Linked DNA regions of Ovis aries. The main gene of each other region encodes a partner of the protein of the gene in region 5 in a complex. Links are inferred from orthologs where the notes say so. Each region holds a gene or a part of one and is shown on either strand. Other genes may lie near its edges. The genes, in order: HJV, BMPR1A, RGMB, RGMA and BMP2.

Region 1 (4,179 bases), on a different chromosome or scaffold from region 5:
TTCATCCCTGCGCAATCCCTTTCCTTCCTGTTTGGGCTCAACTTCAGCTGCTCCCATAGGAGAAGGAAGTTTCCTTTCTGTAACTTCTCAACCCAGAGCTTCTCAACTTTCCTCTCCCCAGCTCTTTTCTGCATTGGAGTGAAATTCCCACGGAGGGAAAGTGATTTACAGGAGCAAGTGTTCGGTAGGAGGGAGTGATTCAAGATGTGAGAGTGGTTCAGGAGGAAAGGGAATAGAGCTGCATTGCTGAAAACTAGTAGGGTTGGCATGGGAGTGGAACCCTGGGGTGACCATGGAGGAGCAGTTGAGTCCCTGACCTTCCGGGTGGTGGTGGCGTTGGCCCCCAGTGCCACAGGGGAGCTGGTGGCCTGGACAAAGAGGAAGTCATTATCCAGCAAGGGCCAAGCTCCTTGGACACGGCACGTGTGAAAGTGGTGATGGAAGGTGCGCACGTGAGGGTCCCCGAAGGAGGCGCAGTGCAAGAAGCCTGGGGGTTGTCGGTGCAGCCGGGAAAACCGGCCTTCATAGTCACAGGGGTCCGGGGCTGGGGAGCCAGAGGCGCGGATCGGGCCTGCGCCCGGAAAGACGGGGCCTCGGGGTGGGGGAGGGGCCGTGGGGCCCTGGCGGGAGCAGTTGTGCTGAATCATCAGGTCTTCGATGCCGTGCACAGCAGAATGGAAGGCGAGGTCCCCGCGGCAGGTGCGGGCTGTGCGCCGAGTGCAGAGCGCGTAGGAGCGGAGGGCTCGGCAGAGACCGCTGGAGCCCACCCCTCCACCTCGGCCTCCTCCTCGAAGGGCTCCTGGTGAACCCCCACCTCTAAGGCTCAGAGTGGAAGATACATACTCAGCATTGCAGCGGAGGATCTTGCATTGAGAATAAGCTGAGGGCGGAAGGGAGAGAGGAGTGTGAGCTGGTCCCCGGATCCCCGCGCAACCTCAACCATAATTCTCCCAGGTCTCATGGGGGGATAGCAGCGGATCCTAAAACCCAACTGAGAGCCTCCCCCAATTCCCAGTCCCCAGCCGCCAGCCCCCAGCTTCCTAGTCTTGTCCTCATTCAGTCTTGCTAAAGATGGGTAAGCCCTGCTAGATCTCTCCCGCCTGTGGATCAAGGGCTTTCCCAGTGCCCTTTCCCAAGTTGAATGGTGAATAAAATATACCTATTTGAGAGTGGGGCGAGTGACTGGGACCCCTCAGCACCCATCTCATCTCATTCACCCAAGCTCACATGCCCACCCCTACATAGCAGCCTACCCCCTAGATCCCCCAAAGCCTTACCTAACCCTTCCTTACCATGTCCACAGAGGAGCAGCAGGAGAGTGAGAATGCTTAGAGTTGGGGGACTGCCATGGGGGGACCAGGGACTAGGGGACTGGCCTGGATCCCCCATACCTATCCAGCCAGGTCCCCCCAGGTTCCGGTTCTTTCCAGCTGATGACCCTCCTACCTAGTGAATTTTGACCGGACGTCCTGTAAGGGACTGAAAAAAGAAATGTGGCTGGGCATGGGGAAGAGAAGAGTTGAAGATTGTTCAGAATGATGTGAAGAGAATCTGGGAAGATCAAGAAAAGAATGAGCTAACTGGAGTTTAGGGGAAATGGGTCTCCCTGAACTAAACACGAGGCTGTTGAGCCTCTGTGCCCTGCTTTTGTGACCACTTTCAGGCCCCTTATGCAATACCCCTAGGTGGGGGTGGAAGAAAGGTTGAGTGGACTCGGAGGGCAGAGTCCACTGTATTGCCCCATTCTGAGCTATCAAACAGCAGGAATGTCAAAAAGAGGAACCATGTGGATAGATCAGATCTCAGTCATACCAGTGGGCTCCCCAACAGAATTAGGATCTGAAAATACATCAGAGACTACCGCTTATTCACCCTTCCCCATCAGGAGGGGACACCCTCCAGAGGTCATTCATTGATTTTCCTCCTTTGTGTCAGAATTTTCAGTAAGGAGGAGTAAGGGTGGGATACACATCCCATCTCTGGAATCAGTATTCAAATGAAAAGGGAACCAGTCTCTTTCATCTACTGTAGAGAGCTAAAATTATCCCTCTGTCTCATGGAACAATGGATGCAAACCAAGCATGCAAATCAATATTTGTTATGAGTCAACATTTCTTCTTCATGAGTCAACTTTTCTTCAAATCTGACTGAAGAACCACCCTTTCCATTGATCTTACCTTTCCATCGATCTTAACTTTGCAAGTTTGGAAGTCAGTCTTTTGATGAGGACAAGGCTTGGGGAGGGGCTAACTCCCTCTTGCCAAACTAGTCTCTCTGGAGTTAGGGATATGATTGAGGGAGAGTCATGCAGGAAGGAGAACAAGATGATGGGGCTAGAGTTGTAGGCAGAAATCATGTACAACAAGGAGTAAGCCTCACCCTCGGAAGCCCAATGTGAAGGGCACTGATAAATAGGAACAAGATAGAGGGTATCAGTGACTAATCATCTGAAGCTAAATTTGGCCTTGGTGAGAAAACCACAGAATAGGAGGTGTAGGAAACTTCTACTAAAGAAGGAGACTTCATCAGAAGTCTTGAGGTAATAGGAGGAGCCAGCTAAGACTCCCAGAGGAGAGATGGAGGTTTAAACTTCTAGTGGCCAGAGGCCAGAAAGCTTAAGACAGAAGGAGAAATGGAGACTGGGGCACCTTGGTATGGAAGAGATCCTAGATTTGCACCAGAGACATCCAAGTTTATGTCATAATTTTATGAGATTCTAACTTCAATTTAGAAGATTTTTAAAGGAATTGCAATTAATTTTGACTTACTGTTTCCAGAGGTCAAACATTAGTCTGCTATCCAATTCTCCAGCCATGACTGTCTACTGTATCAGTCAGCTCCAGCCAGGGGATCCCCCGTCTCTTTCTCCATGTCTCCCCTAGGTCCCCAGACAGGCTGCAGTCTCACTGAGGTCAGGGAACCAGAGAAGGTCTGGTGTGGGGGGAAGGGGGACTAGATGGCTGGCCGGAGTACTGGACAGCTGAGCGGGGGAGGGAGGTGGCTACTGAGTTGACTGTTTTAAAAATAGCTAAGTCCAAAATTCCAGGAGTGTTGATGGGGGTAGGGTGTTGGAGTGTTGGCGAGAAGGTGGGGAGGGTGGAGAGGGTAGGAGGATTAGAAAGAATATGGGGTATAGGGTGCCAAGTGGCAGAGAAGGGATAGGAATATGACCAGCAAATCAGTTATCCAGTTTGAGCTTACATGATTCTAGTCACTGCCTACTCCAAGCAGCCCTCCAGCACTGTCAATAATTTAAAAGCCCTCTGGCCTTTAAAAATTAGACTAATTTTTTAGTCTAGTTAGACTAGCCTTTAGACAGTTAGACAGTTGTATACCTTTAGCTCAGCACCCTCATCCTTGCCATACTGAATATTGCATTTAGTTTCTTCAGAACATATCTAGGAGATAGCTGACTTTAAATAAGGTCCATAGCAGAGGTAGTTCACAGCCCCTCCCCCATCTTTGTAGAGTATTTCAGAAGGACTTAAAAAGCCAGCTGTCTAGAGAAGAAATCTGAGCTCTGAGTGGTTTAGGATGAGTGTGTGTTTCAGTCTACCAGATCAGATCCTCGCAGCTGTCTATTCCCCAACGGCCTCCATTTTCATTACCTTATTTATATAGCAGCTCCTCTTTGCAGGTATACACACAAACACACAAGCTTCTGAGTTTCTGAGGGAGGAGGCTAACAAAGTCAACGAGGGAAAGAAGGAATGGGGATACAAGTTTTTGAAGGGGAGAGGAACTTGGAGAGATAAAGTGAGAGAAAAAGAGATTCAGAAAGATACTTTTGTGGAGTAACATAATCTTGTGACCTTTGAAGAGATTGCAACCAAAGAATTTAGCCACGTATTTTTGCAGCCATAGGCATCAGGGATCATCGTTTCTTAGTACTTGCCAAGTGAAATTAACACAAGGACTGATTTCAAATAGTGTCACTAAGGCACATGCACTAATTTGCTCTACATTTAATTCAGAATTCAGAAGTCCACAGAGTACTCTTCTCTTTTTTATACATACAGATCTGAAAATTTTTTTCTCTCTATCACATAAAGCCATATCACAAGGGTTTTTATTACAGAAATGTACAATGACTCCACCCAAACTATCCAAGTGATTTAAAAACAATAATTTGGCTGTGACATCCCAAGTGGTATATACTTTTAAGGACAAAAAGAAGTG
Region 2 (3,732 bases), on a different chromosome or scaffold from region 5:
ATTACTGAGGAAAAGTTGGCTTATTCAGTAAATGGATTTGGGAGTAGATAGCAATGGCACCCCTCTCCAGTACTCTTGCCTGGAGAATCCCAGGGATGGGGGAGCCTGGTGGGCTGCCATCTATGGGGTCGCACAGAGTCGGACACGACTGAAGTGACTCAGCAGCAGCTGAGAAAAATGGAGAAAAATGAAGCTGAGTCAGTTTTGTACATTGAAATAAGTTTTAGCCAGATTTAGCCATGTAGATATATAATTCATGTATATATACATATATATTTACATATATAAAGTGAAATGCTTAAATACTAGAACAAACCTTGGAATAGTTTTTAAAAATAATCTGAATCTGACACAAAACTTACTAGCCAAAAAAAACCACAAAACACCTTAAAATTAAAAAAGGAAAGATTGATGGTGTCAACTACATAAAAATAAAACTTTACTATGTGGTAGAAACCACTATAAATAGTCAGAAGACAGTCTAACAGTGAAAAATATCCCCTGCTTATATTACAAAGAGCTAATTTCTTAAATATAAAGAGCTTCTATAAATCGAAAATAAAAAAAATCAATTCAGTAATTACCAAAAAATGAACTTATGGTTTGTTTAAATAGAAATACATATGGCTCTTAAAAGAAAAAGATGACTCAAGAATACTCAAAATATGAAAAATATGTTAAAATCATACTGAGGTTTTATTTTTTACCTGTTATACTGGCAGAGATTCACATGTTTGATAGTAGGTCTTTTAGATAGAGCATCCTTTTCTACTTTTGTTGCTTCCACTAAAATGGCAATAAAGAGTTTTAAAATGTTTTGTTCAGCCAGAACAGGGAGACAAGATGACAGCAAAAAGCTGTGGAATCTGGGAAACTTATGGATGAGTATAGACCTAGAAAATCTGAATCCCAGGCTAGAAATTGAGAAAGACAAACAGCAACCGATTTGTACTACAAAATTCCCCCAAGAAGTTCACGAATTGGCAGTACTAGCCACCTCTGGAAGTTAAGCCGAGGGTGGCAGGGAAACTGAGAGGGTGGCCTGAAAGTCTGTTTTTAGAAGGTCAGGTGCTGTGTTGGTTGTGCAATCCTGTGTTAAGAAATCACTCCCAGATTTAGTGATCTGAAACAGTGGCTATTACCGCTCACCATTTCTGTGGGTCAGGACTTCAGGAGTGACCTGCCTGGGCAGCTCGGGATCTTTCGTGACCTTCAGGAAGATGTCAGCAGATGCTGGACTCACCTGGAAGCTTGGCTGGAACTGGTAGATCCTCTTCCAAGGCAGCTCACTTCCAGGGCTCACTTCCAGGGAGATCTTAGTCCCTCCGATATGAACCTCTCTACGGAGCGGCCTGCATGAGCTTACTCACAGCAGGAAGCCTGGCTTCCCGTGCAGAGTGAATGGTCCAGAGACCAAGGTGAAAGATGGGCGCTGTATGTGATCTAGACTCAGAAGTCACACCATCTCTTCTGCCATCCATATCTTACTGGTCACCCAGGTCAGCCCTGGTGCTTTCTGGAAGGGAATTAAACAAGGACAGGTGTACCAGGAGGTGAGAAATTTTGTGGGCCATTTTGGTTGCCAGATAACCACTGATGTTGAGATCCCTGTTCTTATTCTGAATGATCATGTGACTTTGATCCTGAGCAAAAGGCTAGAAGTGTTGTCTCGGGGAAAGAGCAAAAATGTTCCCATCTATGGTGTCCCGTTACTGAGGGTGAGATAAATGGTATAGTGAAAATAAGGAGGTAAAGTGAATATTTACATACTAATTTGTGGGCCCCTCAGCCGTCCAGAACCGTGCTAGCCAAGCTTGTTCCCTCTAGATAATGTATAAGAAGATTATTCTTAGGGAACAACCATCTGGCCCAAGAAAAAAAGACCTAAATATTCTGCCTCCAGTAAGCCCAGTGAAATGGCCCCAGCAGATTATCAGAGTGAAACCTGTAATCAGTAAGCCCCATTCACGTATTAAGAGCTGCCGGTCAGGCCGTGAAGGACACTGACCCCTGAGAAACAGGAAGCAGATGAGGTGAGTCTTGCTATTGCCCAGCTTACTCCCTGAGAAGAGTTCCTGACTGCGGGACACAGGAATGACTCACGCAGAACCCAGCAGGCACTCTGAGTCGAGGAGATACAGCTGAGAGTCTGAGGAGAGAGCAGCAGCTATGGTTCATAGGTGCAGAGTGCTGGAAAGGAGAGAGTTTTCATAGAGGAAGAACTCTGTGGACGTCTTCAGAATGGCCCCATAGAATATTCAGCTGATCTTAGTCAGTGATTTCAAGTGAGCAAACCCCCAAGGCTGAGAAAGACTGCCTGAAAAGGTCAAAGGATCGATATTCAGTGCTCACACAAGGCCGTGAACAGTGTCTCTTCCCACCAGCTATGTGACCTGAAAACCTCACAATTCACGGGGCTCTGTTTATAGCACTCAGAAGGGTCTTGCCTCAGCATTGGAGAATAATTAGTCAGCTGTCTGACTTGGGGCAAATGGTGAGCCCTGGGCCTATGGTTTCCTCTTTTGTAAAAAGGAAACACTACAACTTATCTCTTAGGAGTTTAATAAAGTTGAAGTAAGTCACAGAACAGTGCCTGACACACTGAACATCAATAGAAATGAGCTGTTTTTTTTTTTAACATGTATCAACATGGATAAATAGGTAATACATAAGAAATTTCTTATACAAGATGTAAAATATTAATACAACATATGCCATTTATAGAAATTAGTATCCAGAGAAAAAAATTTGTGTGTGAATATATACTTTTTATGGTAAAGGTATAAATACATAAATAGGAAGGCTATAGCCACCTTCAAGACAGTGTTTGTCTCTTAGGATTAAAAGAAGAAAATGAAATTATGAGGGAAATTTCAAATATTTTAATGTTTATTTAAAATATATCAAAAAATTATAGCTTAATATTTATTAAATTTAAATGGTTTACACATGGGTGCTAATTAAATTAATCTCTACTGTTTAAATGTTTGAAACATCTCATAATTTAAAGTTTTTTTCAAAAACCTTTAAAAATATCAGAATGAACTTGTTTGACTTCTCTTCCGTAAACTCCTTTTCCCTTTTTAAAAATGGTAGTATATTTATTGTTCATTATGATGTAAAACTACGTTTATGAATTCAAATGAAAAAACATATGTAAAGCAAAGAATGGATATTCTTACATCCCCAGCAATAACTATTATTTACAACTGCTATATATCCTTTCTGATCCTTTCAGAGAAGTATAGATGCATATAATTCTAAACTGTTTATAGTGAGGGTGAGACTTTACATGCTGGTTTTTAATCGGTTTTTTTCACTTGCCAACGTACCATGGACATCTTTCCATTTTAAGGTAGTAAATAGCTCTCTATTTCAGAAACTCCATCTTTGGACATTATTTTAACAGAGAATATATTATTCTATGATAAGACTAATTTGGTTATGAACCCATGTGATGAAGGAATGATGATAATGTCAACAGTCTCGAGATTTTTCTTACCTTAGAATTTTATTGTTTTAGAATTTTAATATAGTTATCTTCTGCTCTTTTAAAATAAAAGACATTATTGCAAGAGCATCTCAAGCAGACGCCGTTACAATCGTGATCTGGAACAAGATGAAGCATTTATTCCAGTTGGAGAATCATTAAAAGACCTTATTGACCAGTCACAGAGTTCTGGTAGTGGATCTGGACTACCCTTATTGGTAAGCTGGAATGTCATGTGAGCA
Region 3 (3,732 bases), on a different chromosome or scaffold from region 5:
TGCAGCTGCTACATCACAATGCAAAGTTACGCAAAACTAAATTTAGTCCTCTGCTCAAATGTCACATTTTTTCCCCATTACTTAAAAGACCTCCCGGATTTTTAACACTGCTGGTATGACTTAATAAATAAATAAAAATTAACTCTGGCACAGCTGGGTGGCATTACAGTTCAGTATTCTCCAGATCAGAGTGTGGTGATTGCTGTCCCACAAATACAGGACAAAAAGATCTCAAAGGATAACGTATCTAATGCTCTAAGTGCTCTCAAACTAAAAGATAGATTCTTTTTCAATTTGGCAATGAAAAAACTTTTTGTCTAGATATACTGCTAGGAATGGTACCTATTTGTAAAGGGCGTTCTAGATTCCCCCCCTCCCCACCCCCAGCTTTCTTGAGATATAACTGACATGTATCATTGTGTTCATGAAAAGATCTTAAAAAGAAAAACAGGCAAAACAAGCTAGAAGGCTCATCGTCGCTAAGACAAAAAGGTTTTACTTCGCTAAGAACGGATTCCTCACTGCTGCTTCCACCGGGGAAGTTCCCGAAGGCAAGAGATCGGTCACACTCTCCTGGAACGCCCCAAAACACGCGGCTAGCCACAAAGCACGAAGTTTTCCCAAACAGGAGGTGAAAGCTGAAATTAAAAGGGGCTTTCGCAAATACGAAAACGATCTCAGTTTAAAGAAGTTTTAAGTGACTTCGAGATGAACCCCCAGGTTTTCAAAAGGGTAGAATTATCTTCCCATCGGGTGCCATTTCTTCGCCTCGACGCCACCCCCAACTCCAGGGCAGCAGCAGCAACCAGGCTCCTCGTCTCCTCAGCCTAGGAGGCGGCGGCGTAAACCTGATCCCAGCCTGACTTTCAGTAAAACACCCATGCAGAGAGCAATAGAGCATCCGGAACGTTTGTCTCGGGGGGCGGGAGGCAGGGCGAAAGGCCGCTCCCGTGTGCCCTGGGCGCGCCGCTCGGTTGGCGGGTGTGTTCCTGCCGCCGCGCCGCCAGCCGGCCACGGTGCGGGTCAGGAGCTGGGGAGGCCTTTCCTGCCCCGGCCAGCGCCTTCTGCCCCCCCGGGAGTAGGGGGATAGGGGAACCCAGCCCCCCTGGCCCTACAGGCGGCTCCCCACCCCCAACCCGCGCGCGCGCCCCCCGTACCTGCATGAAGCAGCCCAAGGCTGAGCAGCAACAGCAGCAGCAGCGCCAGGGGCGGCGGGCCGAGCCCGGGGCGGCGGCGGGGGCGGCGGCGCGGCTCAGCCCCGGCGGCAGCGGCGGCGGAGGCTGGGGCGGCGGCGGCGCAGGAGGGCGATGCTGCTCTCAAGCCCATGCCCGTCCATGCAGCTCTCGTGGGCTCCGGCGAGGGCGGCGGCGCGGGGGCCGTGGCGGGTCCCGGGCCGGGGCGGCGGCATGGGCCGGAGGGAGCGCCCCGCTTCCTCTTCTTCCTCCTTCAGCCCCGCGTCGGACGCGGGCCGCCGCCGCCGCCGCCGCAGGAGCAGCAGAAGCGAGCCGGGCGCCGCGGGCGGAGCGCGTCGGCGGCGTCGGCCGCGGGGAGCGGAGGCATCGTGGCGGCCGGAGTCGGCGGGCGAGCGGGCGGAGGGCGGGAGGAGAGAGCGGAGGGCGGGGAAGGAAAAGACACAAAGACGGTGAGCGAGTGCGAAGCCCGGCCGGCAGCGCGCGCGCGGGGCGTCCCTGGTCCAGCGTGGGCTCGGCGGGCGCGGAAACGCACCGGACGGAGCCCAGAGCGGCAGCCCGCAGCCGCCGGCTGCCGCGATCACTCTGTGCCGCGGGGGCCCCCGCGCTCGATCAATCTCAGCCCCGCACTGCCGCCCCGCCCCTCCCAACGCCCCGCCAATCCACGCCGGCTCCGCCCCGCCCCTCCCCGCCCCCTCTAACTCCATTGGCCGAGAGGCGGGAGCTGTGGACCCAGTCGGCCACTCATAGGGCCCCAAGCGCCCGCCCCGCCCTCCGGCCCCACCCCTCCGGGCCCCCGCCCCCTGCTCCCAGCCTCCCCGGGGTGATTCGAGTTCCGCGTCCTGCCCGCCGCCGGTCGGGTCGGCGGCGCTGCGGCCCAGCCTCCCTATTGCTGGCTGCGGCCTCCACGCTCCCCTCCACCCTCTCCTGCAATGTACTGCCGCCCCGCGCCCAGTGGAGACGGGCGACGGCAGCTCCGTCGTTACAAAGGAGCCAGCCTTTGGCCTTTCCGAGAAGGAAAGTGATCGGGTTCAATGTCCCTCTCCGTAACGCTTTTATTTAGATCACCAGCCCCCGACCCTGTCCCTGCCCTACAGCCCTGGCTCCTCGGAGGAAACGGGCGCCTTTATGCTTAGCGCCCGGCGGCAGGTCCCTTCGACGCCAATCGCATCTGCTGAGCCGCGTTCTGAGCCCGCTGCGGACTTTTTTTTTTTTTTTAAGTAAGTTCCGTTCAGTTCAGTCGCTCAGTCGTGTCCGACTCTTTGCGACCCCGTGGACCGCAGCACGCCAGGCTTCCCTGTCAATCACCAGCTCCCGGAGTTTACTCAAACCCATGTCCATTGAGTCGGTGATGCCATCCAACCATCTCATCCTGTGTCGGCCCCTTCTTCTCCCACCTTCAATCTTTCCCAGCATCAGGGTGTTTTCAAATGAGCCTTTTTTTTTTTTTTTTTCCAGTAAAGCCACCGCCTTCTGAGCCCATTCGGGACTTTTGGTAAAGCCAGTCGCGTTGGAAATGCGAATGTGACCCGTGGTCCGGAACGAATCGGATGGCCTGGGAAGGTAGCCACCAGCTCCCTGGTGGAGTTCGCGGGCAGCTGGTGTTCCCGTCACTCTGACATTTTTCCCTTCCTGAAAGCAGTTGGGGAGGGGGTTCTGAGAGTAGGGAGGACGTCCACGTGTTCTGTTATACTGTAGTTAGATTCATGAGGATAGTGAGTTTTATTGCAGTGTAATTTTATACCATGATCTGTTGTTGCTCCGTGGCTTTTCCACAAATGTTCATCGTCTATTAGCAAATTAATTCAATAGCAGGTCCGTTTCTACTTTTGCGATGGAATGGTTGCAAAAATGAGAGGGAAACCAATTGCTGGCGGGAAAGGAGACTTCCAGAGATACAGGAAAGCATGTTTTATGAGGTCGATGATAGGTTCCAATTTGTTATCAGCAAGTGTGAAGTGGTATCTAATCTCAAGAATGGCCTCAAAGGCCAGGAGCCACTTCATACTGTCCTCGTCTTTGCCTTTCTCCAACACTCCAGCGTTCTTGCCTGGAGAATCCCCTGGACAGGGCTACCGTCCGTAGGGTCGCAAAGAGTCCGACATGACTGAGCGACTTGGCACAGCACAGCAGCACCGCAAACGGCAATGGGCTGCCATTTTAAATGAACTTATATCCAAGTCGCAGTCTGCAACTCTGCTTGCTACATTACTCACAATCCCTAATTTAGGAATTTTCGTATCAACCACGGACATGTTAGTATTCCACATGTTAAAAAGTGCCAGTCAATGGACCAGGATAATTGAGGGCAAGCCCTCCATCACTCCAGCTTCCTCATTACACACCTTCTGAATTATACAAACCACTAGCTCCCTAATGAAGGATGCCTATCTATTTTTACTGCAACTTTTCATTACTTACTTATTACATACTATGATGACTCAAGTGGTAAACATACCTTTCACTGCCCACGATATAACCCAAGTCTTGTGTGTATCCATAATATGCTTAATAGTAGCTTCAGAGTTGCCCGGAGAAATGA
Region 4 (4,300 bases), on a different chromosome or scaffold from region 5:
GCGGAAACGCCAGCACCTCTTCCTGACCGCTTCCCTGGAAGCAGCGAGCATCACTGTGAGACTTGAAAGCCGGCCGCCCTGTCCCTGTGTTAGGAACGCTCTGTGCCTAATCATTTTGTTTCGCATCTCCTCACCTAAGGACTCCTCTATCTGGCCCCCATGGGCTGGTTTAAAAGCCAAGTCAAGGGGCGTGTGAGCTAGGGGCTTCTCATCCTCCACTGTTTATTATTACACACACTGGGGAAGGATGGAATCAGGCCTCAGAGAGGCTTGGAAGGAGAGAAAGCAGACAGAGGTTTCCTAGCGAAGGTCACAGAAGCCCTCTTTGAATAAGATGCCGGATTACGGCAAGACCCTTTTTGTCCTAAATCTAGTTATTAACTAAACACCTGCAAAGGGGGACACAGTTTGCAATAGCGTGGGGAGTGAGCGGAGAAGCCGCCTCTCATTTGGAATGTCTGTTCAGAGCATAAGTGCCTGTCTACCGCCTGAGAGGTAAAGGATGGGAGCAGGGTTATTGAAAAAAGGATGCTGGGGACCTCCCTCACCATCACCAGAGCTCAGATGCTCTCAAGGGGGGCAAGGACCCTCCCCACAAGAAGAGCACCACACTGCTCTATAAGGAACCGGCTGACCCTTCAGAACAGGGAGAGTCCAGCTCATTGCTAATATCATCTGGCCTGGAAGGTGGCAGCAAAAACCAGGCTCCGAGAGGCCGTGGAGCCCGCCTGGCTGTGTGGGTGCCCCACCCACAGCCTTTGTCCGCTCTGTTTGCCATCCAACAAAGTCTGCCCCAGTTGCTAATTGGGGATCACGTCTCTTATAAAGGAGGCCTGCTTGTTGCCTGCCCTGGGAGTGGAACAGCAGGAAGTCTCTGCACAAAAAAAAAAAAAAAAAAAAAAGCCATTTTTGTATATTATACCTCTCCTGGATGGATTTGTGCCAGACTCTTTTCCAGTTCTCCTTCAGCTGCCCTCCAGAGCACAGCCCATCTCTTTTCTAGGGGGTCAGGGCTCAAGACTCCCCTGACAAATCCCTCGTGTCTGTGATGCACAGGAAAAGGTCACCTTCCATGCACAGGTTGTGCCAATTTCTGGACGCGTGTCCAGAGAACAGGCGCAAGCTCACCGCTGGTAACATTCTAGGTCATGTTTGTGCTGTGTGTGCTCAGTGGCCAAGTCACGTCCCCGCTTTGCGACCCCACGTACTCTAGCCCGCCAGGCTCCTCCGTCCATGCAGTTGTCCAGGCAAGAATACTGGAGTGGTTGCCATTTCCTCCTCCAGGGGATCTTCCCCACCCAGGGATGGAACTCACGTCTCCTGCGTCTCCAGCATTGGCAGATGGATTCTTTACTATTGAGATACCCGGGAAGCCCTATGCTTGTGAGAGAGGACCCTAAAGCCAGAGGAGAAGGTGACGGATCTTCTCCAGGTGAAAGCCTGCCACTCAGTGCGACCTGCGATTCTGACCCATAAGCTGGGCGCGCGGAGCTCTGTCGTCGCTGCGCTTCAGCTCAGCCGGAAGGTAAATAAATACAGCGGGGAAAACTCGTCCCTGAGTTACCTCCTGCCTCCCAGAGAGACGCCCACTTTGAGTCTCCCACTTTGAGAACATCCAACTTCGAGGCCTAAAAGAAACGCGCGGCTCATCATTTCCGCTAGATGGCGCGATGTCCCCTAATCCATCCGCAAGACACCCGATTTATAAAAATAAATACAGTCCGACGCCTTCCGAAACCACATCACATAATAGCAGCTCTCAGGCTCCCATCAGGGAAAAAAAAAAAAAAGAAAAGAAAAGAAAAAAAAATCTAAATCTGGGGGAATTGACTCTACGTCCGAGCAAATCCAACGCAATCGCATTAACAGGCTGCAGTCAAGAATTGCACAGGCCCCCTCATCGGCCCTCCCCCTGGGTACACCTGTTTCCCTGCCCCGGTGCTTCCCCTGGGATGGGCCACGGCTCGAACCACGCGCGGAGCCTTCTCTGCTCGGAGCTCGCCGGGTCCACCTGTCCGCTTAGGACCACCAGGGCCCCCCGGGATCCTACCCCTTAAGCACTCAGCCCAAGCCCCTCATCTTCCTGCGCACCTGCCCTTCCAGGCAAGGGACAGCTCGGACCCGAGCCCACACGGAGCGCAGCGTCTACGGCCCCGGGGCCGGCGCTCGAGCCGCGGCTCTAACTAGGTAGCCTGGCGCAGGGCAGGGGGACGCGGCTCGGGCGAGTCCGGCCGGTGAAAGCTCACGGCGGGACGGCCGGGTGGCCCGCTCGGTCCCAGGCCCCGCGGGCCGATCGGAAGGGCCGCCCGAGGAGGAGGTGGCCGCGCGGGAGAAACGGAGCTCCCAGCACGCGCAAGTGGTACAGACGGTCGCCGGGTGTGCCCAACCGCGCGCGCTGCGGGCAGCCGGGGGAGAGCATTTTAGGGGAAAAAAAAGAACAAATACCAAACCACAAAAACTTTACTGCTGCCAAGAGCTCAAGCGATCGAGGCGCAGCAAAGCTCCAAATCTGGGCAAGATGAAAGCAAGATGAGGCGCTGGGTGGTTTGGCGGGGGGGTACCAAAGCGGTGCGGTGGCCCGGGCAAGTGGCGGCGGCGGCGCCTCGGGGCTGTCAGAGCCGGGTCGGTCAGGCTCCCGGCGCGCGCTTACCTTGGCGGCTGCATGAGCCCCTGCAGCCCGCGGGGGGTGGCGCTGGCCGGGCGGCGGGAGAAGAGGGGGTGCCTGGGCGCCGCTCTCGGCCTCGGGGCAAGGTGGGAGGGGCTCGGCAGGCGCTGGTCCCCGCCACCCCGGCCGGCTCAGCAGCGGCCCGGGGCGCGCCGCTTGCTCCCGGGCTGCATGCCTGCGAGCGCCTGGAGGAGCCGGCCCGAGAGCGAACGGCGAGTGCTTCCCCAGCCCAGAGGCTCGGAGGCGCAGCCGGCGCTCGGGAGACGACTGCCGAGTCGGGCTGCTCGGGCCAGCCCCCTCCCTCGCCCGGCCCCCGCCCGCCGCCGCCGCCGAGCGCTCGGCGTCGCGAGGTTCGTTTGCGCGCGGAGGGGAGGGGGCGGGCCGGGCGCCCGGGGCGCGGGCGGGGGGCGAGGCGGGCGGGGCCCGCGGGGAGGGGGGCGGGAGAGGAGGCGGCGGTGCGGACTCGGATTGCCCTGCCCTCCGCGGCCGCACCTTCCCGCATCAGCACCGGTTGAGGGGTGGGCTGGGAGTGCGCACGCTGCAAATCGAGACTTCCCTAAACCGCGCCCGGGTCAGGGGGGCGCGGGGGACAAGTGCGGCGACCCTCGAGGCGCCTCCAACTTTCCTAATGTCCCGCTGGGATGCCCTGGAGAGCACGTTTCCATCATCCTTTCCAAGGTGGTCCAAGGGTCAGGGACCGGGGCGGGGTCGGGAGCAGTTGCTCTGAGGTTTCTGGAATAGACCTTCGCTTCCAGGAGAAACGCCGCTGCTTTCTCCAGAGACACACGTTAGTTGCAGACTGAGATGTTTGTTTTAAGACTCTTCTGTTGGAAAACTAACACACGTATGTTAAATGTGTAGTGCACGAATACGTTGCTGCGTACAAAGCTGAGCCATATCTAGAGAATAAAGACGACCGCGCCACGTCCCCTCCACCTTGCAGCCGCTCCCCAGCGGTCACCTCGGGTCGGGTGTGCTCCGCTGCGGGTCTTTCTACTCCTTGCTCTGCCCTTTTACCCGCACACGCGCGGATTGCAAGTGGATTCTCACGGGCTTTTCAAAAGAAATGTTTTACCGCGCGGCGCACGCACACACTGGCGAGAACACGGCCACTTGAGCTGTGATAAATTCCCCAGAGGCGTGCAGAATCCGGAGAAAGATCTGGATCCCTGCAGCGACACACAAGGAGCCACCCCATCGCCCCGCAAAATCTGAAACTGCAGCTGGGCCCTGAAGTCAGCCTGAGCACACAGCTCACGCCCCTGTTAGCGTTGCGCGGCTGGAGAAATTGGCCAGCGCATTTCAGACGGGGTGATGCCCTTGGCGTTTTTGTTGTTTTTTTTTTTAACAGAAAACAAGCTGTCTTTGGATTTGGATGTGATGAGACCTCTGGATTTGCAAAATAAAAAGGTATTATCTACATTAAAACGTGATCGTTGTTTATGCTTGTGGTCCTGAGGGATGTGGTTTGAACTCTACATTCTGTGTTTTACTGGCATTGAGACAGTCTATAGCTGGGATATAAATAAAATCCATGTGATTTAGCAGGAAGAGATTGGGTATTGGGATCGCTGGTTTCTATAATTAGCTCTGACCTTGGGCAAGAGTTTTAGCTTTGTTGGGCCTCAGTTTCCT
Region 5 (4,327 bases):
AGGAAAAGAGTGCCGATTTACCGAAAGGGAATCCCTGGCTCTCCCGCCACACAGGCAGTGCGTGAAAGCCAGGTTCTGAAAGGTTCTTACAAACAGGGAAATGTCTGCAGCGCCCGGGCCAAGCTGCCCTGCCAGGGATGCCTGCAGTCTGCCCACGGCGGGGCGCTTTGCCGTACGACTCCCCGCCCCCGTCTCCGCCCCCAAGCTCCGGCCCCGCGCCTCACCTTCGTGGTGAAAGCTGCGCACTGTGTTGGCGAGGCTGGCTGCCCTCTCCAGCCGGTGGTCCGGGGCGGGCGCACCGGGTTGGCCCGAGTGCTGGCGGTACAAGTCCAGCATGTAGGGGGGCACCACGGCGTCCCTGCTGGGGGTGGGTCTCTGCTTCAGGCCGAACATGCTGAGCAGCCGCAACTCGAACTCGCTCAGGACTTCGTCCGAAGGCTGGGATGAGGAGCGGCCAGCAGACGCCGCGAACTTCCTCCGGCCCAGCTCGGGAATGAGGCCGGCCGCGCCGCCCAGGAGGACCTGGGGAAGCAGCAACGCTAGAAGACAGCGGGTCCCGGCCACCATGGTCGACCTGCGGACAGGGCCGACATTAGTCACGGAGTTTCCCGCCCAGCCCTCACCCCTTCCGCCCCCGCGGGCTCCCGCTCCGTCCATTTGCCTCCTCCTCCAGGGTGCCCACCTGGCTGACAACACTCGCGGGGATACTTAAGAGGAGCTGAAGCTCAAACGTTTGGGAGAATGGAAAAACACCTAGTTCCTGAGCCAGATGGGTTTTCCCCGCTCCCATCCCATTCTCAACCCGTCAAGATTTGCCCCCCACCCCACCCAACCCCACCCCACCCCACGCTGCGTCAGTGACTGTCACTTTTTTTTTTTTTTTTCCTGCGACACTCACGCTGACAACTGTATAGGGAACCTGGGAAAACCACCGCTTAGTCTCACATTCCTCCGTACCCTAACCTAACCCAAACACACAGCGCTCACTTGCATATAAACACTCACAAATGGTGCATGTGACTTCCTTACAGGCACTGTATAGAACTTCCTGATACACACAGGGTCTGTAACTTCCAGAGCCAGTAAACTCAAGGACACAACTTCCGAAATCACTCGCAACCTGTGACCCGAACCTAACCTCAGAAATGTCAGGGCAGGCTACTCCATCCCCCCTCCCCTCGCCCCCTCCTATGCAGTAAATATACACAAGTATCTTCCTATTAGGTAGATGGCTAATATCTATTAATTCACGTGTCAGTTCAAGGTGGCACGAAATAACTGCCCCCCCTTGCATTCCTGGTAAAAAAGAAAACAAAACAACAACAACAACAAAAACCCGAGAGAATCCCAGCGTATAATATTTTCCTAAATGGGACGCGGCTCTGAGTAGAGAGAGTTCTCCGGGAGAAACTTGAAGTTAAAACGGCAGGACGTATAGGTTGGCAGCTAACGGGTGAAATCCACGGGCCACCCTCTAGAAGGGACTTCTTTGACTTAAAAAAAAAAAAAAAAATCATCCATGTGTTAACAGCCCTAATAAAATCCCGAAGAGAGGGAGGGAGGAGGGGCGGAAGAGTGCGAGCCAGGAGGGCAAAGCCTAAGGTCGCCAGGGGCGGTAGGATGTGGGTATCCCCTCAGCGGCTCGGTGCACGTGGACCTGTTCTGTTTACGTCCCGCCAGGCCTGGCCCCGGGAGGGGCTCAGCTGCTGCGGCCGCGGGAGACCCGCGCCCACCCCCAGCCCCGGCCCACGTTGTCACCTTTAGGAGACCGCAGACCGTCTAAGAAGCACGCGGGGACACGTCCATTGAAAGAGTCTCCACATGGAAAAAGCTCTGGCTGAAGGACCTGGCGCGGGGACCGGGTTCCCTTCCTTCGCCTCTTCCTTCTCCCGGGTGCCGGCCAGGCAGTCCCTCCCAGCACGCAGGGAACGGCGTCTCGGGTAGGGCCCGGCGGAGAAGTGGCAGGGGCGGCGGGGTTCGCAGGCGGTGAGGCTGGTCCGCTGGGGCAGAGGCACCGGGGCGAAGTGGAGAGCGCAAGTTATTTTCCCTGCAAGTTCAAGAAGTCTCCAGCCAAGTGCTGACACACAACAACAGCGGGCAGGGGGAGGAGTGCAGAGCAGGGAAGGGAAGGGAGAAAGGAAAAGCTGGTGCTGTCGTCGTCCTTAGGAACCAGCGCCCGCGGGACGCGTGGCCCCGCGCCGGGCCGGCTCCGGGACTCTCGGGACGAGGGTTGGGCGCTCGGCGCTAACTCCGCCGCGGCCCATGGCTCGGGCCAGCCATCCTGGGCGACGCCGGGTCCGGGGAAGGGCGCAGCGGCGATCTCCGTGCCAGGCGAGTTGCCCCCCCGCATCACTCTGCCTTCCTCCAGCGCACCCCCATTAGCGCTAGCCAGTTGAAACCACCGCGGCTCCGGCGCTCCGGCGTCCTCGGGCACATTCTCCGGCGAGTCGAGCCGAGTATCGGGCCGCCGAGGCGGGTGGCTGCACTCTCTCCTCGGTCTCTTCGCCCCCAGGCCAAGCCACTGTACCCTTTGTGGCCAGCCTGGGGTCCGATCACACCTCGGTCGGCGCGTTCCAGGTCCCCGAGCTCCGGTGGGAGGTGGTCGGCATCGCGGCGCTCGGGCTCAGCGCGCCGGTCTTCGGCTCCGGCGCGGCCCGGTCAGCCGAGGCCACGGCGCAGCGGCGCGCACTGCCGGGCGCTCTAACCCGCGCGGGGTCTGCGGGCTCGGGTGCCTCTGAGTCCCCAGTAATCCGCGAGGCGCTCGCCCCGAGCTAGTTCGGTGGGCGGCGGAGCCTGCGGCGGCTGATGTCTGGCGGCAGCTGCCAATCTCGGGTAGGGTGTGGGAAGAAGAGCGGCGGGCGCAGCGCGAGCCGGGCGCAGCGCGGCGCGGCGGGGCGAGGACTCTGGCGGCGACGGCGGCGGTGGCGGCGCCGTGGCGCGGCGCTCGCGGCTTTTAAAGGGGACGCCGCCTGCCGTCTCCCTCCCGGCCCAGGCCGAACACCCTCCCCCTCGGTGGCGCGGCTCGCCGGGGATCCCCGAGCGGGCGGGAGCAGTGTGCAGGGGTGTGGACGGCTAGCCGGGCAGCCGGGGCAGCCGCGGTGGGGTGGGGCCGAGGGCGGGGATCCGCGGCCGCCGGGGGGGCGCTCGTGCCTCCAGCCCCTGCCCTCAAAGGGGAGATCCGTCGGAGCGCCTGGCCCTGGCTGGGACTACCAGGACGAAATCCCGACGAATGCCAGGTCGGACCTTATTTCCCCTCCTGGCCCGTTATTTAGCTTTCAGTTTGAAGATACTCCGTAATAGACGATTAGAGAAGAACTCAACCAAGTTTCAAAGCATCTTGGCATAGGCGTGGGGTACACTCTTCTGTGTTTTAACCGAGGTGAGAGGAGAATTAAAAGAAAACTAGAGATTGGATTTGCGTGTAACTTACACTTTAGCATTCACAGACATATGCATTCACATATGTAAATTTATTTATATAAATGCGCTCTTTTATTCCAATAAATATATGTGTAATACACAAATATACACGTGTGTGTCTATAAATATATCCGTATACGTAACTTTGTGCTACCAAAGCACATGTTTCTATAACTTTGTCTGTGTGAAATGGATTTCTTTCTGCTATTCGTGACATGAGCAACATGGAGAGTGTGTGTGTGTGTGTATGAAGAGAGGATGAGAGGGATTTTTTCTTTTTACTGTAGAAATCACTTCATGCCTTATATTTATCTCTCCTAGCTCAGGGGCAGGCCATTAGCAACTGCAGAGGAAGGTAAAATAATGGCACAGTGTGAGCCGAGGGGACGGAACAGCTCTGGTCTGAGACCTTAGAACCTTCTGCCCCACCCACTTCCACCAGATCCCAGCGGCAGGTCTGTGACATGTGGTCAAGTGACTTGTTTTCCTCAGCTGAGACAGTCCCCAAATCTGCTGTACCACAAGCCCCAAAGCCAAGGCTTTCTGTCCTTTCCAGTATCCCAGGATCGCCCATCCATCGCTCAACCAGTTTACCCAAACAATCCCAAAAGCCAAAAGCAGAAAAGTTTTGGAAAAGGCCAGATGGACAAAATCAAGCTCGCCTGCACAGAACCTTCAGCCTGTAGAGCAGAAAAAGTCTGAAGCAAGAGCTCATAGCAATCTATTATCCATGTGTATTATTTTTTCAGTTGGGAAGCTAAAATAATTGTAGGTTCCGCTCACGTAAATCGGATTAGCAACCCACAGAGGGGGAATTAGGCCCTAGCTGTTTCTGAAAGTATAAAGGTCAAATAAGGTATTTCTGAGGAAGCCTGCCTACCAGGAAAATAAATGAGGGGGGGGGGGG

What was found.
Region 1: the proteins of BMP2 (region 5) and HJV are in contact, whole or in part, in a crystal structure (PDB 4UI1), measured with the Homo sapiens proteins. The link is inferred for Ovis aries from reciprocal best matches to the Homo sapiens genes BMP2 and HJV. Residues at the interface, in NP_001191.1 of Homo sapiens: Phe331, Pro332, Ala334, Asp335, Leu337, Asn341, Ile344, Val345, Leu348, Ser351, Val352; in NP_001366281.1 of Homo sapiens: Leu40, Asn43, Tyr46, Val47, Tyr86, Leu101, Ala102, Ser105, Ala106, His108, Gly109, Ile110, Asp112, Leu113.
Region 2: the proteins of BMP2 (region 5) and BMPR1A are in contact, whole or in part, in a crystal structure (PDB 2QJ9), measured with the Homo sapiens proteins. The link is inferred for Ovis aries from reciprocal best matches to the Homo sapiens genes BMP2 and BMPR1A. Residues at the interface, in NP_001191.1 of Homo sapiens: Lys297, Pro330, Phe331, Pro332, Leu333, Ala334, Asp335, His336, Ser339, Asn341, Ile344, Val345, Leu348, Asn350, Ser351, Val352, Asn353, Ser354; in NP_001393490.1 of Homo sapiens: His66, Cys67, Pro68, Asp69, Ile77, Thr78, Asn79, Phe83, Ile85, Cys100, Met101, Lys102, Glu104, Gly105, Phe108, Gln109, Asp112, Arg120, Ile122.
Region 3: the proteins of BMP2 (region 5) and RGMB are in contact, whole or in part, in a crystal structure (PDB 4UI2), measured with the Homo sapiens proteins. The link is inferred for Ovis aries from reciprocal best matches to the Homo sapiens genes BMP2 and RGMB. Residues at the interface, in NP_001191.1 of Homo sapiens: Val308, Gly309, Trp310, Trp313, Met371, Tyr373, Leu374, Asp375, Glu376, Tyr385, Met388; in NP_001353437.1 of Homo sapiens: Lys97, Arg100, Gly101, Leu103, His106, Ser107, Leu110.
Region 4: the proteins of BMP2 (region 5) and RGMA are in contact, whole or in part, in a crystal structure (PDB 4UHY), measured with the Homo sapiens proteins. The link is inferred for Ovis aries from reciprocal best matches to the Homo sapiens genes BMP2 and RGMA. Residues at the interface, in NP_001191.1 of Homo sapiens: Val308, Gly309, Trp310, Asp312, Trp313, Met371, Tyr373, Leu374, Asp375, Glu376, Lys383, Tyr385, Met388; in NP_064596.2 of Homo sapiens: Arg91, Arg94, Gly95, Leu97, His100, Ser101, His104.

The regions. Positions count from the first base shown.
Region 1 is NC_056054.1:99,328,219-99,332,397, forward strand, and holds the start of HJV (hemojuvelin), read right to left. Parts: upstream 2,900-4,179; 5' UTR 2,769-2,899; intron 1,498-2,768; 5' UTR 1,390-1,497; coding exon 1,293-1,389; intron 881-1,292; coding exon 318-880; intron 1-317. UniProt on the Homo sapiens protein: Acts as a bone morphogenetic protein (BMP) coreceptor. Through enhancement of BMP signaling regulates hepcidin (HAMP) expression and regulates iron homeostasis.
Region 2 is NC_056078.1:40,560,188-40,563,919, forward strand, and holds part of BMPR1A (bone morphogenetic protein receptor type-1A precursor), read left to right. Parts: intron 1-3,563; coding exon 3,564-3,708; intron 3,709-3,732. UniProt on the Homo sapiens protein: On ligand binding, forms a receptor complex consisting of two type II and two type I transmembrane serine/threonine kinases.
Region 3 is NC_056058.1:95,599,875-95,603,606, reverse strand, and holds part of RGMB (repulsive guidance molecule B), read right to left. Parts: intron 1,445-3,732; coding exon 1,158-1,444; intron 1-1,157. UniProt on the Homo sapiens protein: Member of the repulsive guidance molecule (RGM) family that contributes to the patterning of the developing nervous system. Acts as a bone morphogenetic protein (BMP) coreceptor that potentiates BMP signaling. Promotes neuronal adhesion.
Region 4 is NC_056071.1:13,390,467-13,394,766, reverse strand, and holds the start of RGMA (repulsive guidance molecule A), read right to left. Parts: upstream 2,935-4,300; 5' UTR 2,665-2,934; coding exon 2,651-2,664; intron 1-2,650.
Region 5 is NC_056066.1:48,875,892-48,880,218, reverse strand, and holds the start of BMP2 (bone morphogenetic protein 2), read right to left. Parts: upstream 2,906-4,327; 5' UTR 1,759-2,905; intron 575-1,758; 5' UTR 568-574; coding exon 225-567; intron 1-224. UniProt on the Homo sapiens protein: Growth factor of the TGF-beta superfamily that plays essential roles in many developmental processes, including cardiogenesis, neurogenesis, and osteogenesis. Induces cartilage and bone formation.